2 linked regions of the Oryzias latipes genome follow. The protein of the gene in region 1 purifies or fractionates together with the protein of each later gene. This does not show direct contact. Links are inferred from orthologs where the notes say so. Each region holds a gene or a part of one and is shown on either strand. Other genes may lie near its edges.

What was found.
Region 2: the proteins of rbx1 (region 1) and cul9 purify together in Homo sapiens (affinity purification with mass spectrometry; 5 studies listed by BioGRID and IntAct, with this or other methods). This does not show direct contact. The link is inferred for Oryzias latipes from reciprocal best matches to the Homo sapiens genes RBX1 and CUL9.

Annotation. Positions count from the first base shown.
Region 1 is NC_019866.2:19,406,848-19,415,366, reverse strand, and holds rbx1 (E3 ubiquitin-protein ligase RBX1), read left to right. Parts: upstream 1-3,613; 5' UTR 3,614-3,849; coding exon 3,850-3,927; intron 3,928-4,928; coding exon 4,929-5,007; intron 5,008-5,157; coding exon 5,158-5,228; intron 5,229-5,370; coding exon 5,371-5,456; intron 5,457-5,565; coding exon 5,566-5,578; 3' UTR 5,579-5,743; downstream 5,744-8,519. Other genes in the region: chondroadherin-like protein, read left to right, coding at 659-936, 1,026-1,362, 1,445-1,791, 1,914-2,080, 2,223-2,514; st13 (hsc70-interacting protein), read right to left, coding at 6,914-7,048, 7,256-7,344, 8,299-8,344, 8,421-8,519. UniProt on the Homo sapiens protein: E3 ubiquitin ligase component of multiple cullin-RING-based E3 ubiquitin-protein ligase (CRLs) complexes which mediate the ubiquitination and subsequent proteasomal degradation of target proteins, including proteins involved in cell cycle progression, signal transduction, transcription and transcription-coupled nucleotide excision repair.
Region 2 is NC_019873.2:12,799,604-12,807,617, reverse strand, and holds part of cul9 (cullin-9), read right to left. Parts: intron 7,043-8,014; coding exon 6,344-7,042; intron 5,033-6,343; coding exon 4,878-5,032; intron 1-4,877. UniProt on the Homo sapiens protein: Core component of a Cul9-RING ubiquitin-protein ligase complex composed of CUL9 and RBX1. The CUL9-RBX1 complex mediates ubiquitination and subsequent degradation of BIRC5 and is required to maintain microtubule dynamics and genome integrity.

The DNA of each region.
Region 1 (8,519 bases):
TATGTTTGCTTGTTACTCTGGCATAAATCCTTTTAAATTTTGTCCGCTTATCAAAGCCCACATAACTCCATTATTGAAGGATCAAACTTTCCAAGTGAATTTAAGAAAAATAACTTAAAACTGAGCTAGAAAGAACATGTATTACACGTGTTACATTTTACAAAAAAAGGCTGCACACAGACTTGCATCCAACTGATGGTTTGATGACAATTTGTCTGCATACAGACCTGCAAAGATTGAATAATTACAGCAGGTACACATAAATAATATGTAATCAACTAAAAAAAAAGTAGTTTAAGAAATGAAAAACTTTTATGTTCTTCACATAAAATAACATTTGGCCCCCAGGCCTTGAGTTTGACACATGTGCTTTAGAGCTCGATGCCAATAGATTTTTGAAACAGAAAGTGTGAAAAATTTGAAATGAATAATTGGTGATTATCTTTAATACAATACAATTTTCCTGTAATAAAGGGTGAAAATGAGTCCTTCTCTAAAGTTACTATAAACTGAGTTTAGTTTAGTTTTCAGTAGTATTTTATTAGTTTAGTACTATATAAAATATGAAAGTGTTTTTTATTTGTTTTTTTTTGGTCTGAGTGATCAGAAAGATGTTATTAAAATTCAGCAAACAGTTGAAAAACAATTCTTCTTCCAGGCAACCCAATCTACTGTAACTGTTACTTAAAGCCTCTCAAAGAGTGGGCGACCGCCAAAGGTGTGAAGCTGCTGGGCGCCTGCACTGAACCCCCACATCTGTCTGAGGAGCTGCTGCAGGAAGTGACCTCTTCGGATCTACGCTGTCATGGTGGGAGTCAAAGCCTGGGTGAGAAGGAGGAAGAGGAGGAGCAGAATAAGGAGGAAAACAAAGGAAACATCACAGCCACAGCCAAGCCCAAGCAGAGAGTCAAATGTCCTTCTAACTGTAAATGTGATGTAAGTTGTTTTTTTTTTCTCAGAATAACCTCTTGACAGTTTAATCATTTTACAAATACGTTTTTTCTTTTTTTATATTTGACTCATAGATTGAAACACATCATGCTACATGTGAAGGCCAGGGTCACACCAAAGTTCCCAGAGGCTTCCCAGCAAAGACGCAGCTCCTTGAACTCCGTGGAAACCACTTCCACTACCTTCCAGCCCTCAGCTTTCCAGGCACTGGGAAATTAGTTTCTCTTCACTTAGAGTCGTGTGGAATCCATGAAATTGAAGGTGGTGCCTTCCAGGGAATGAACAGCCTGCTTTATTTGTATCTCTCTGACAACAACCTCACATTGTTGGATCCAAAGATCTTTGCTGGAATCCAAAATCTCACCTATCTCCACCTGGAAGGGAACCAGCTGACACAGTTCCCTGGATCCGGTCAGTGTGAGCTCACTTTAAGTATTTTGTTACTACAGATAAAGAGAACTGACTGACATTCTGCTTCTGTGTCTCCTAACAGCTCTCTCTCTTTTACCAAATTTGTTTGTGTTACACCTGGAGCGTAACAATATTTCCAAACTAGAGCCTTCCGGTTTGCTATCTTCTGTAACTCCCACTGAACTGTCCTTGAGTAATAACAGCACAAATGTGATGGCCAGAGGTGCTCTCACCTCTGCTTCCATTGGATGTCTTTACCTGGATTCCAACCGGCTGACTGAGGTGCCGACTTCCGCTCTAACCAAAACCCCAAACTTGGAGGAGCTCAGCTTATCTCAAAATCCTATTTTGAGGGTTGGACGAAAGGCATTCCAGCCCATATCCCAAAGTCTGAAAAGGCTTTATATGGATCATATGGGAATGGAAAAGGTAGGAGATTCTAGTTCTCCAAGATCCTCTTTCATCCAAATGGAGTATTTGATTCAATCTTTAATTTTTCCAATTAGTTCATTTTAGACTGTGTGATTGGTTGGTATTTTGAATTTTTCCAGATGTCTGAAGATGCATTGCAGGACCTGGGCTCAGCTCTTAGACATCTGACTGTGAGGGGAAACCAGCTGAAGGAGCTGCCTGACCTGAGACCACTTACAGGCCTGGAAGGGGTGGACCTGCGAGACAACCCTCTGCTGTGCGACTGTGCTTTGCTGCCCCTACGCAGGTCAGTGAGGGTCCTTACCAGGGTGCTGGAATCAGAAAAGGGGAGTTTTCAACAATTATCAGAGCCCACAAATGTAACATTGTACGGTCAGTAAGCTCACATAACTTTTTTTGTGTTTTTGTGTACTATCTTTGTGTTTCAGGTGGATGGAGAGTGTGAGATTTGAAGTTACAGCGACTTGCGGTAACCCTCCTGACCTCAGAGGTCAGCAAGTCAGAGACATTAATGTCTTCGCATCCTGCTCAGAAAACGCCTCCATTAAGCAGGAGGGCAGCAGGGAGCCGAAACTTTCTACAATAACCAAACCAGGTTCTTTGAAGCCCCCCAAAGTGAAAACTAGACCTGCGAAGTCGAAACTAAGCAAATCATCTAAGAAAAGGTTACAAAAAAAATCTGGGACTCCAAAAAAGACCATGAACAAGATGGCATTATAATAAAATGAATCATGTTTTGGTGGTTTCTTTACAAAGAGTTTTGTTTGGGAAAAAGTTCAACTTTTTTGTTTTTTTATTAAAACTGCTTCATACAACATGTTGTGTGCACTATCTTCATATTTTGTAGGCAAAGCTACTCTAAACAACAGAATACAACTTTTCAAAAAATATTAAAAGTCACAAAATATATAAGTTTATTGATCCTGTTGGCCTCCTGTCCGGCCTTCGCGGATTCGGATGGTTCAGGACGTCCAAAAATGAAATGTGCAGTTGGGGAAACGAAAAGACACAAGAGTTTGCATGAATTCTCAAACCTTTTGCAAAAACGGAGAGTTGGAAAAACATGACCTGTTAGGCTCTGTGGCTGTCCGCTCTCTCTGTCCTCAAGGCAAAAAGGCGTTTTTTATTATTAAGTAAGGGAAGATGAAAACATACAAAATACGTCAGTAGAATGGTGTGTTTCTGTCTAGTCTGCATTGCAGCTGTTATGGCTCCATAAACACTCCAGTACAGAAAGAAAGCAGAGACTGCAAGTCAAAAACAGGCCTACTGGTGACCTCGTCACATATTATCTGCTACTGAGGGCAGGAATCAAGCATATTTGTGCAGTACAATATACATGCAAAAATAGAATCCATTATAATAACAAGAAAATACAACATATAATAGAACCCCTGTAATGCATATTTAAAAGAACATAGAAAATATTATGGAACCCCTGTTCACCTCAACAATCGTCAAACATTAAAGTGTCTGTCAATTATTTTATTTTCAAATAATAAATAGCACGGAACACAAAAAGTAGGCCTGTAAGTTAACTTAGCATTAAATCATTTACGGCAGGATGCTAATAATTTTTAAAACCCGTTATATTCACCGTTTTGATGAATGAAGAAGTTCCTGTTTTTAAATTTTTCTTTTTAAAGAAATTGTTAAGCTGCAAAAATGTAGTTAACCTGTTTAGTAGATAGAATTCTAACAATATTCGAATTGAACGTGTGATCGGTGTCTTGATGGTACCTTAATAATTCTTGGCTGTGGCTTCAACATGGTTCCATGGTGTAATGGTTAGCACTCTGGACTCTGAATCCAGCGATCCGAGTTCAAATCTCGGTGGGACCTGAGATTTTTCTTCCACCCTCGTCTATGGAATCACTTACTATCTTCTTTAAAGTTGTGCTTATTTATTAATTAATTTATTTAATTTTTAAATGAAATTCATGTTTTGGTTGTTATTTTATTTCGTCTTTCCCGTCTCAGTCGGTTAAGTTAATGAACTTAACCGACTGAGACTGTTGCTACATCCGGACGGCTTTGTACAGACGACGTTTCAAGATGGCAGCAGCGATGGACGTTGACACACCGAGTGGTGCTAACAGTGGCTCAAGCAAGAAACGCTTCGAAGTTAAAAAGGTCTGATTTTATTTATTACCTGGTCAACTCTGGATTGGTCAAACACGTTTGCTATATAAAAGAAGAACAAAGGAGCCCTGTCTGTTTTAACCTCCTCTAGCTGGTTAACGACTCCTATTAGCATGTTCGATGTTGCCTAGCATAAAGTTAGCTTGCTTAACGAAAATGAATGTGCATTTCTAAATAATGTCATAACTTAGACCATGTTGTGATATTTACAAGATTACCTTCAGTCGAGCGTAACAGAAAAACAGCGTTTTTGAAATGGTAACGAGAGCTATAATCTTAATTCTTTTAATATTTGTTTTATTTTTGTGCTATTCGGATGCTAATTTAGCTTAGCATAAAGCTGAGGTTTCAAGATCTAGCAGCACATCATCTTTTTCTCTAATTTTAAATTTTTGTTCGTGTATTTCACATGTTAACCGATTTCTTTAGATTATTGCTATAAAGTTTTATATATATATATATATATATATATATATATATATATATATATATATATATATATATATATATATATATATATATTCCCTTAAAAGTGCTTATCTGATTTGTGCACCTGACAGGTGCAATTTGATATATTTATCTTTACTGTAAAAGGAAGCACTAAATCTTTCCTGTCAACTATTTTTAAAATGGGGGGAAAAAAAGTGTCATGATGACCAAAAACAAGAAAATAATTCAGGAACATGTTCTTTATATCAGCCATGTCTATCAAAAATGGCAGGAAGGAAATGCTAATATTTTTGATTTCCCTAAAATGTTTTAACATTCCGATCAGTGGACATGTTTAACAACTATATTTTGTTTTCTTTTTGTAATTCCAGTTGCTTATTTCTTTCGATCCTTTCCATTCAAAGTATTACAAGACATTATGCTAGATATGGTTAAAAAAAAGTCTGGAAACGTTGGAACGTTCTAAAACATTTAACTGGTGTATATAATCCTGGGTAACATAGATTAAACATGTGCTCATCTGATTGTTCTGTCCCCCTCAGTGGAATGCTGTGGCGCTGTGGGCCTGGGACATTGTTGTGGATAACTGCGCCATCTGTAGAAACCACATCATGGATCTCTGTGAGTTCACTTTAATGCATTCTCTGATAGCTTCCTGTCTTCATTTTGACTTCAAACTTTTAGCAGAATGAGTACTTCTAAGCTTCTACAAGCCCTTCTTCTCCCAACAAGTTTAGATTTCTGTGACACGTTGCATGTTTTCTTGATCAGGCATAGAATGTCAAGCCAACCAAGCATCTGCAACCTCAGAGGAATGCACAGTAGCCTGGGGGGTCTGCAATGTAAGTTTCCAATTAAATTGATGGAAGACTCAGATTATCTGTGTGTTTTCTGGAAGATGAAATGATGGATACCAATATGAGCATTTAGAGCTAAAGCCCTTAACATTTCTAATTTCTTTTTCACCTGTTTGTCTTCTTTTAGCATGCATTCCATTTCCATTGTATTTCCCGCTGGTTGAAAACCAGACAAGTGTGTCCCCTTGATAACAGAGAGTGGGAGTTTCAGAAGTAAGTTTGATTGATGTCATGTAGTTTTATTGATTACATTTCTGAAAGTACGATTTTCTTTAAAGTTGTTGCTTTAGACATTGCTAAGCTGTTTGTCATGTTTTCACAGATATGGACATTGAGTCGGCCTGCCGCTCACTTCCTGCAAGAATCAATTTCACTGCTTCTTCAATCCCAGCGGCTTGTATTATTTTCCACACTTTTGTTTTAGTATGTTGTAATTAAATGGTGAGCTTGTAAGGTAAAAAGTTTGAAATAATAAATGGAAAAAAACTGGGAATTAACCTTTCATTTGTGTTTTTGTTTTTTTAATACAGTTGACTTTAAATCACATTGATGTTGACAGCGCAGTAACCCTCTTTAAGGACACGAATCTTCAGTGTAAATTAAATCACCACCAAAATGTTTGACTTCTCTTTACCATAGTTTATTGTGGAAGCTGTTAGAAAAATGAGTTTCATCTATTTGTTAAATTCCACACATGACAGAATACTTCCTAAAGACCCACTCTGATGAAAATCTTGTTTTCTGGTGTTTTCAACGTGCTCTAGTGCCTTTTTCTGATGAAGGGCATAAAAGAAAACTAAGCTCAAATTTACGTTCCAAAAATAACCTGCGATTAAAAAAAAAAAAAAGATTCCAATGAAAAATATCCACACAGACTGAAACGTAAACTGCGATAGTCAATGAGCGGTAATTCTATATTCAGATGAAAAAAAGAGCTTTGTGATGAGATTCATGTGGTGGGCAACAAGCGCCCCGCTTTACAACGGGGAGGGGATGGGGCGGGTTTGCTCCATGCCAACACTCCCGCCCACAACTCGGAGGTAAATTTCTAATGAACTGCTGCTGCTCTGCAGAAGCTGGCATGGATTAGGCATCATGAAAAGTTTTCACTTTAATAGAAGACAACCGTTAAAAGCTAGGGAATTTGACAGTTAAAGTACATTTATCAGTGCAAGTAGAAAAGAGGATTAAAGCTGTTTTCCATCAACATTTTTATTGTGAACTTTTCAACAGGAATATTAAAGTTATTTGCAGTTAGCCTTTCACAACAGCATGTACCAGCACCCACGCTTTGGAGTGCGGCCTCACAACCAGGAATTTCCTACTGAGTGTAGAATGGCTCTAGAAAGAGGCGTTGGTTCCATGCAGGAACTGTCCGAGCTGCTGTCGCAGGTTAAATCACAGCCGCGACCCATCAGAGAGGAGGGAGGGGCTTAGCTAAATACCAGGACTGACCCATAACCATCTGTTTGATTTGTTGATGTTGCTAACAAACTGAGGAAGATTTAAAAAAAAAAAAGAAACCAGTGAAAAACACTTTCCATCTTTCTGTTACATTTGCATCACTTTGACCTGCTCCCCTGATAGAACTAAACACACTGAGAAAATGTTGAAAAGCTTAATTTCACTCGCTCCTCCAAACATCATCTCCGTTTTGGTCCAGTCCACTTCTATGGCTGGGGGGGGGCTCCGAACTTGGAACTCAGCTTGGAAGCGAGAGCCATGATTTTGGGGTTGTTCTGATACTTGGAGATGTTTGCCGGATTCTGAGCCACATCCTGGAAGGCGGCCATCACCTCAGGGTCCTGGAGTCAGAAAGAAGTCAACCTCACTGGAGTGTTTCAGGAGTCACAAAAACTGAGCAGAAAACAGCTGCAGTTTTAATTTTCTCAGACTCTCCGTCAGTGTATTTTTAATACAAAGTTTAAATTGTGTTTCCTGTGTTTTGCACATTTATGGAACTAAGGCTTTTCCTTGGGGGAATGTGATAGAATTGGTTCATCTTAAGTTACCTTCATGGCGTTGAGCACCTCAGGATCCTTCAGGAGGTCACCAAGACCGGGCATACCTGCTGGACCTCCGCCTGGGAATCCGGCAGCACCTGGAACATCAAGGAGATTTAAATACTCCAGCACAGTTACGTCCAATCGACTGGATTGTAGGATGGAGGAGGAGCCTATCCACTGGATTGAAGAGGCTTGTAAGAATGGCAAAGATGTTGAATCGCTTTTGATTTTCAAAGGAATCACAGTGAGAGCATCAGGCGTGCAGAAAAACACGGCCACTGCATGACATTACTTCTAATTTACAGATATAGACTGGCAAAACCAACAACTGAACGCCGTTTAACACCATTCTACCTAAATAATAATCAATCGTTATAGTAATTTTCCCGATATTTATTTAATAAATGTCCTACCTAACCGTATTCGTTTTCCTTGTTTGATCATTCAGAAATCATAGCCAAATAAAATCCAAATAATGATCGCTTTGTGCAATGGGTTTGAGGTTTGAGCTGCTAAAGTTAAAGTTGCTTGAATTTCAGTCTTCACAAAATCATTGAAAACAGAGAAATGAAGGACAAATTCAGCTCGTCGTACAATAAAGTAAAACCAATTACTGTTACTACCCTTAAAATATCCCTTAATACAACAACTAAAATTTGCCTTAAAATATGTGCAAATAAATTCAGCCTAAATATAAACCGTTAGAATAATATCTGCTCAAATGAAACGTCGATATTTTCAATAGAACCTGAAATATTTGAGGATTACTTAAATTTGTATTTTGATTTGTGAATGACAGAGCGGAAACAGTTAGGTAGGACATTTAACATAAATATAACATTTTCCATTACGATAAGTAAGTTGTATCATTTAAGTAGAATGGTCAGTTTTCCTGGTCTATATCTGTAAACCGGAGGTAACATTACACAATGGCGGAGATATAGTGTTTTATGATGAGGTCATCCAATGTTTCACTTTTAAATGAGATTATCCTATTAGTTAATGTGAGATCAGAAATGACAGCATGCAGGACGGACAGGTAATCTGACCTGGGAAACCTCCTGCTCCGGCTCCAAAATGTCGGGATTCCTCTTCCTGCAGAAACACAGAAAAGGCAGTGAGGGGCGGACCTTTTCCCTCCAAAAGCGAAGAGGAATCCAGAAGAGCTCACCCTCTGAGCACGGGCGTGCTCCTCTCTGGCCTTCTTTATGCGCTCCTGCCGGTCCTTGATCTCCCTCTCCTCCCTCTTGCGCTCATATTTGCGCCTGTG
Region 2 (8,014 bases), on another chromosome or scaffold:
CTGTAAGAACAAAACAAAACCGCACATGTTGAACATAATAAGGACAAGTTTGAGTATGGATGGGTAACTGACAGGATTTGTTTCTGTGCTGGTGGTCAACTGGTAGTTTTGAAACATTTCTGATGCCTAAATGGTTCTTGAACCAGCGCTTAGAAAAGTAAAAAATGCCATTTTTTTCCTAAAGCCTTTAAAGTGTGATGAAGCAGCGCGACAGGGTGGAGAGCACTTGAATGCGCGTAAGATCCTTTTTATTTTCTTCTTTCTGACAGTGCACTGCTGCATCTCCGTTTTCACACACGCTGAAGTTAACATGCATTTCCCCGCTCACTGCCACAACGGCAGCCTTTTTTAAGAGCATTGTACACGTCACTGAATTAATCTTTTGTAGTGAAGTTCAGCCAAACCTTTGCTTTCTTTGCCTTCAGCATTTTGACAGGGTTAAGTGAAGTGATATATTTAGAGATCAATCAGTTGAACTATCGAATCTAGCCACAGGGGTAGCAAGCCAGTTACTTCTGTGCCGGTCCCAAGCCCGGATAAATAGAGAGGGTTGCGTCAGGAAGGGCATCCGGCGTAAAAATTGCCAAAATAACCATGCGAATCATCCACAACACTTTAGACATGCCGGATCGGTCGATGCCCGGGTTAACAACGACCGCCACCGATGCTGTTAACCTACAGGGTGTCGGTGGAAATTTGACTACTGTTGGTCGAAGAAAGAGGGGAGGCAGAAGGGTCCGTGGCCAGAGAGAGAAGGGAAATGGCAGGAACATAGGTTTGAGAATAGGGACTCTTAACGTTGGCACAATGACAGGGAAAGGCAGAGAGCTGGCAGACATGATGGAGGGAAGGAAGGTGGATGTACTGTGTGTGCAGGAGACAAGGTGGAAGGGCAGCAAGGCACGTAGTATTGGAGGAGGATACAAACTGTTCTATCATGGTGTTGATAGGAAGAGAAACGGGGTAGGAGTGATTCTGAAGGGGGAGTTTGTAAACAGTGTTCTAGAGGTGAAAAGAGTCTCAGACAGGATGATGAGCCTAAAGTTAGAAATTGAAGGGGTGATGGTGAATGTAGACAGTGGGTATGCGCCACAGGTTGGCTGTGAGTTAGAAGTGAAGGAGAGATTCTGGAGTGAGTTGGATGAGGTCATAGAGAGTATCCCAAGAGGAGAGAGAGTTGTTATTGGAGCAGACTTTAATGGGCATGTTGGTGAGGGCAATAGAGGTGATGAGGAGGTGATGGGCAGGTTTGGTGTGAAGGAAAGGAATCTGGAGGGACAGATGGTAGTGGACTTTGCAAAGAGGATGGAAATGGCTGTAGTCAACACTTACTTCCAGAAGAGAGAGGAACATAGAGTGACATACAGAAGTGGAGGTAGGAGTACTCAGGTGGACTACATCCTATGTAGACAAGGTCATTTGAGAGAGGTTAATGACTGCAAAGTGGTGGTAGGAGAGAGTGTAGCCAGACAGCACCGCATGGTGGTGTGTAAGATGACTCTGGAGGTCAGGAAGAAGAAGAGAGGGAAAACAGAAAAGACGACCAAGTGGTGGAAGCTGCAGAATGAAGAAACTTGTGAGGAATTTAGGCAGAAGTTGAGACAGGTCCTGGGTGGTCAGGATGAGCTTCCAGATGACTGGGAAACTACAGCAGAGATTATCAGGGAAACAGGTAGGAAGATGCTAGGTGTGTCATCTGGAAAGAGGAAAGACGGTAAAGACACTTGGTGGTGGAATGAGGAAGTACAGGAATGCGTCCAGAGGAAGAGGTTGGCTAAAAGGAAGTGGGATGTAGAAAGGACTGAGGAAGGTAGACAGGAGTACAAGGAAGCGCAGCGTAAAGTGAAGAGAGAGGTGGCAAAGGCCAAACAGAAAGCTTATGATGAGCTTTATGACAGGTTAGACACAAAGGAAGGAGAGAAGGACTTGTACAGGCTAGCCAGACAGAGAGACAGAGATGGGAAGGACGTGCAACAGATAAGGGTGATAAAGGACAGAGATGGAAAGGTGCTAACAACCCAGGAGAGTGTACAGAAAAGATGGAAGGAGTATTTTGAGGAGCTGATGAACGAGGAAAATGACAGGGAAAGAAGGGAGGAAGATGTGGTTGTTGTGGAGTAGGAAGTAGCAGAGATTGGAAAGGATGAGGTTAGGAAGGCTCTGAAAAGGATGAAGAGCGGAAAGGCCGTTGGTCCTGATGACGTACCTGTGGAGGTATGGAAGTGCTTAGGAGAGACAGCAGTGGAATTTCTAACGAGTTTGTTCAATAGGATTTTAGAGAGTGAGAAGATGCCTGAGGAATGGAGGAGAAGCGTTCTGGTCCCGATCTTTAAGAACAAGGGTGACACGCAGAACTGCAGCAACTATAGAGGAATAAAGTTGATGAGCCACACAATGAAGCTGTGGGAAAGAGTAGTGGAAGCCAGGCTTAGGAAGAAGGTGGAGATCTGTGAGCAGCAGTATGGTTTCATGCCCCGTAAGAGCACCACTTATGCCAGTTTTGCTTTGAGAATGTTGATGGAAAAGTACAGAGAAGGTCAGAAGGAGCTGCATTGTGTGTTCGTAGATTTAGAGAAGGCGTATGACAGGGTGCCGAGGGAGGAGCTGTGGTACTGTATGAGGTCGTCTGGAGTGGCAGAGAAGTATGTCAGAGTAGTTCAGGACATGTATGAGAGAAGTATGACGGTGGTGAGATGTGTTGTAGGTCAGACAGAGGAGTTCAAGGTGGAGGTGGGACTACACCAAGAATCAGCTTTGAGTCCTTTTTTGTTTGCTATGCTGATGGACAGGCTGACAGACGAGGTAAGACAGGAATCTCCCTGGACAATGATGTTTGCGGATGACATTGTAATTTGCAGTGAGAGTAGAGAGCAGGTGGAGGAACAGCTAGAGAGGTGGAGGTTTGCTCTGGAAAGAAGAGGCATGAAGGTCAGTCGTAGTAAGACAGAATACATGTGTCTGAACGAGAGGGATCAAGGTAGAAGCGTTAGGTTACAGGGGACTTAGGTGAAGAAGGTGCAGGAGTTTAAGTACTTGGGGTCAACAGTTCAGTGTGATGGGGAGTGTGGAAAAGAGGTGAAGAGGCGAGTGCAGGCAGGTTGGAGCGGTTGGAGGAAAGTGTCAGGAGTGTTGTGTGACAGAAGAGTGCCAGCAAGACTCAAAGGAAAGGTGTACAAGACAGTGGTGAGACCAGCTCTGCTCTATGGGTTAGAGACGGTAGCAGTGAGACAGAGACAAGAGGCTGAGATGGAGGTAGCGGAGATGAAGATGTTGAGGTTCTCCTTAGGAGTGACCAGGTTAGACAGGATAAGGAACGAGTACATCAGACGGACGGCTCATGTTGCCTGTGTTAGCGACAAAGTCAGAGAAGCCAGACTGAGATGGTTCAGAGGAGGGATAGTGGATATATTGGTAGAAGGATGTTGGAGATGGAGCTGCCTGGCAGGAGGGCAAGAGGACGGCCAAAGAGGAGATATATGGATGTCTTAACAGAGGACATGAAGTTGGCTAATGTTAGGGTAGAAGATGTTCATGATAGAGTGAGGTGGAAAACGATGATTCGCTGTGGCGACCCCTGATGGGAAAAGCCGAAAGAGAAAGAAGAATCAGTTGAACTATCTATAATAATTGATTAAGCAATTTTTTATTATAATTATAGGGCAATGATGTGAAATAAAAAGGTCCATATTCTATCTGTTGTCCAAGGTTGGTATGCCATCTTCTGTTGCCTGATTGACAGGCATCCTTCTGGATTTAACAGAGTTTATAAGATCTCTTTGTTGTAATGTCTACAGACTTAGTTTATTGTCCTTCTGAGCTGTTATCAGGAAAGTTGAGGTCAAGTTGTCTCTCTGCTGAAAATCAGGTCACAATGTTGACTTTTAGAGATCTCAGGCGCCATTTTTCTTGAATTGATATTTGGCTCTTTGATTTATTACTGTAGTTGTGAACTGAATTGTTTCTTAGAACCTGTCTGGCACCGTGCACTATGGAGGGAAGGTTGTCAGATGGCGCACGTCAGATAGCAGGTTGGTGCTAAAATACAACAATGGGCGATTATCATGAAAAGAGGCTCAACTACTGAGACACTACTCAGAAAATGTTGAAAAAGAAGAAAAGAAGCTTTAACAATTTAACATTGGAGCCGTCGCCAGCAACACCTTAATGACCAGGCTCTCTGACCTACTATAGGTACTCGACTGTTTATGCGATCAACGTGAATCAGCTGATTTTGACGTGGAGAGAATTGGCTTTTCATTTCGGCTTGCCCCGATATGCAACACATTATTAATGTAAAGTGTTGCATAACGGCACGAAGCAACTTTTCCCCGCAACAGCATTAGCTGAACTACACCGATCACATTAGCACTTTACTTCCGTATAAAGTTGCATATCAATGCAAAGCTGCTTTTCTGAGTTCCAGTAGTCAAAAGAATGTAAAAAAGGCTTAAATATGTGTTATATCTAGCATTAAGAATGTTCTTTTCTTTTTCTTTTTTAATAGACTCCAACAGCTAATATTGATTGGTTGTTTTTGCTGATAAACTTTGAAGCAGTGATGCAGCATCTTAATTGATGTATAAAGATGACATGGTAATAATTAACATTATTAGCCTTAATTTCAACATTGTTAAGAAATTGAAATTTAGGTTCATAAATTTTATTCACAGTTTAATGTTCTTTATAAAATACTAGTCAAAACTTCATATTCCTGTCCAAATAAAAAGCTTGATCCCTTTTTCAAATGTTTATTGCTGTTAAAAATCAAATGACACATTGGAGGTTGTCCCTGCGGCGGACCAACACATTAGAACTGATTCATTTGTGTGCGTGTGTGTGTGTGTGGGGGGGGTTGTTATGAGACTGACAGTGTGTACCTGAGGCAGGTGCACCCCCTCAAAGGAGATGCCGTGCTCCTCAGATGACGTGGTCTCAGCGAACAGCTCCAGCAGAGTAAAGCGGTTGTCAAAGTCCATGTGCTGTTCAATGCCGTCCTGCTGACTGAGGGACAGCAGCACGTAGGCCCGGCTGCCTGCAGGAGAAAGGGAACGTGTCAACACCATCCATCACGACCCAGTTCTTCAGAGGACTCGCACCCTTGTGATGCTGTTGCCGAGGCAATGCAGATACACACACACCTGTTCTTTTCTGGAAGACCTGAACATTCAAATTGTTTGTTTACTTAGCATTCACAGGCTAGTTGGTTGTGAACAAAATTGACGACACAGCTGGAGCCCCAGGTTTGAAAGTGTGTTTGCTTCATTTAGAGATGATCAGCCAGAAGGACTGACCCCTGCCTCATCATATAATCAATTCATTCCTGCTTTGTTCATCTTTGAATGTCAATCAGTTCTCCAGATTTTTTTTATTGTGTCTGTCAGGAATTTAAAGTTCATCATTGAAGCATGCACATAAAGAAAAAACAAACAAACATTAAAACCACCCAAGCTCAGACAGAAGGTACTGAACCCTGAGATCCAGACGGAAGACCAGGATTTTCCAGCAGCTCCTCCTCTCCATTGAGATCATTTGTCCAAGATCAGCCCACCTCTTCCTGACAGCTGAAACCTTTCCAGAATATACTGCTTTGATTGGGTCTCAGATCGCTTTCAGCTGGACAACATTCGCTGTACTTCCCGTTTCCACGACAACGTTACTTCCCGTCCTATGGAGTTGCAGCAGTGAAAGACATGACCTGCAGCTGCTGGACATCTGAGGCCTTCTGTGGGCTTTAAGTATGAGTAACTGATGAAGCACTAAACCACAACCCCTGCCTTAGTCATTCAGTTAAAAAAAGGAACATCTTTTATATGAGACTAAAACTATTGCCAAAGCTTACACAGCTCCACCCCGTTTCATTCACAGCTCCACCCCATTTCATTCACAGCTCCACCTAAAGTTTTGCTAAAAGCTGTAATAGCTTTATTTGTTGCTCCCCCCGCAGTTCCCCCCTGAAATGTCCCTCACAGCTCGATCCACACCTTCACCTGTTGTTCCAGGTAAACATTTCCAACACACTAACTTTTAGAGAAAAGAATTAAGATTTTACAATTCTACATTCTGACAGAAAGTGTGGTCCAGCCACAAAACTCAAACATGCACACTCACACTTCCTCAGTGTTCTCCAAGTGAAAGTTTTGCATAACCCTGTAAGCATGTGACACAGACTGAGTTAGAGTTGAAGCATGCACAGCTGCCGGATAAAGACAGACCTCCCTGTGAGGCTCCACATATAGTGCATCACCATCACAACAGAGCAGCACTTCTGCAGGACCAAAACCAAACCCAGACCCCCAGAGAGGTCGTCTCCCTGCTGCGCTGTATGTAGCAGGACAGTTCTTACCTGCGTCATGTGAAGCAAGCGCCCGCAGCATCTTGCCAGCGCTGCGGCGCGTCTGTGTCTCTTTGTTGCACAGCAGCTCCATCAGCAGGTTGAGGGCACCAGTCTCCTTAAAGACGCCGACGAGTGAACCGATGCTGGCGTAGGCACTCAGCACGTGGATGGTGTGCATGATGTTGATGGAGAAGTCGCTCTTTTTGGCCATCTGCTTCCTGGCCCGACAGACCAGGTTCTTAACGTCCTCCTCCATGTCAGACAGCTCCACCTCATCAAAGGTCACGTCTGTTGGGAACTCGCCCCCACTGCTTTGGCCTCCATCCGCCACTGCTCCACCTTGCTGATTCTCCTGCTGCTGCAGGGGGCGTTGTGAATCTGTCTTTCTTTTGCCCAGGAGGGTGGGGCAGTTGGCGTAGACGTCCTCCGTGGTCATCCACATCAAGATGTTTTCTGGCTTCGTTTCTCCAGATGTGGAGCTGCCAGACCCACCCACCGCCGAGCTGCTGCTGCCTGTACCACCCACCTCCCCGACGCCCCCACCCGAGCTGGAACCATTATCCGTGGAGACGAGGCTCCAGCGAATTAGGTATTCCGTCTGACCATCGTGGGTGCGGCGTTGACGAATCAGCTCCTCTGGATACGCCTGAAGTCGGGGGCCGAGTTGGACCAGCAAATTTCCATTGCAGCGTTCACCCACCATGGTTGCTATGGAGATAAGGAACTCATTTATGAAAGTCAGCAGGAGACACATCAGAAGAGAGAAAAAAAAAGAGAGACATAAGAACGCATCAGAACAGAGGACTCTTTGACCCGGTTCGGGGTCAGATCCATGCAGACACCACTTTAAAATCTAAGCTGATGTAACCCTGAATAAGGGCAAAACTTCGCAACACCGTAAGAAGTGCGGGTCAGGCGCCGTCTGTCTACTACTGGCCCCGTTTGGATTAAGTAATGAGAAATACTGGTCAGGGCATCGCAAACCTGTCGGCGCGCACAGAGCAGAGCTCACATCTGGCTCACCTTTTCAACAACAAAGGACAGCGCGTGACACAAACTTCGAGAGTAATTGGCCGTTGGCCTTGAACGGTGCAGACTAGACTCCAGGAAATAGTCTGTTCCCGGTTTTTCTTTTTTTTGTGGTGGTGGAGTGCGAGTGTGTGTGTATATACAAGTGGGGGGGTAGCAACAGTTAATTTTTGCGGCATCGTGCCGTGGGTTTTTGGAGGAAACGAACACGTCCTCGCCTTCTTGACATGACATGCTAGCTACACATTGGTAACCTGTGAGTAGGATTTTCTACAGTTGGTTGAAGCGGAAATCCTCCCACCAACAAGCTCTGTTTCCAAATCGGCCAGTTAAAGACACGCAGACACAGGTTGTCTGCGGCTAGAGCTGTGTTTTGGAACACGGGAACACGATTGGACCGGACAGAACCTTCTGGTACCTTCGGCCCGTTGGGGTGCACAATGTTTTTTTTTTTATGGACCGGTACCGCCACATAGAGAAGTTAGAACTCAACGTAGAAACTTTTCTATTTGGTTCGGTTTGGTCACTGACTCATCAGATTCAGAACATATGGATTGACGCTTAACTTCGCCAACTTATTGCTGAACCGCAACTCACGGCGGAGGGGCGGGCTAATGGCGGCATGTGAGAGCGAAGAGCCGCTACACAGGC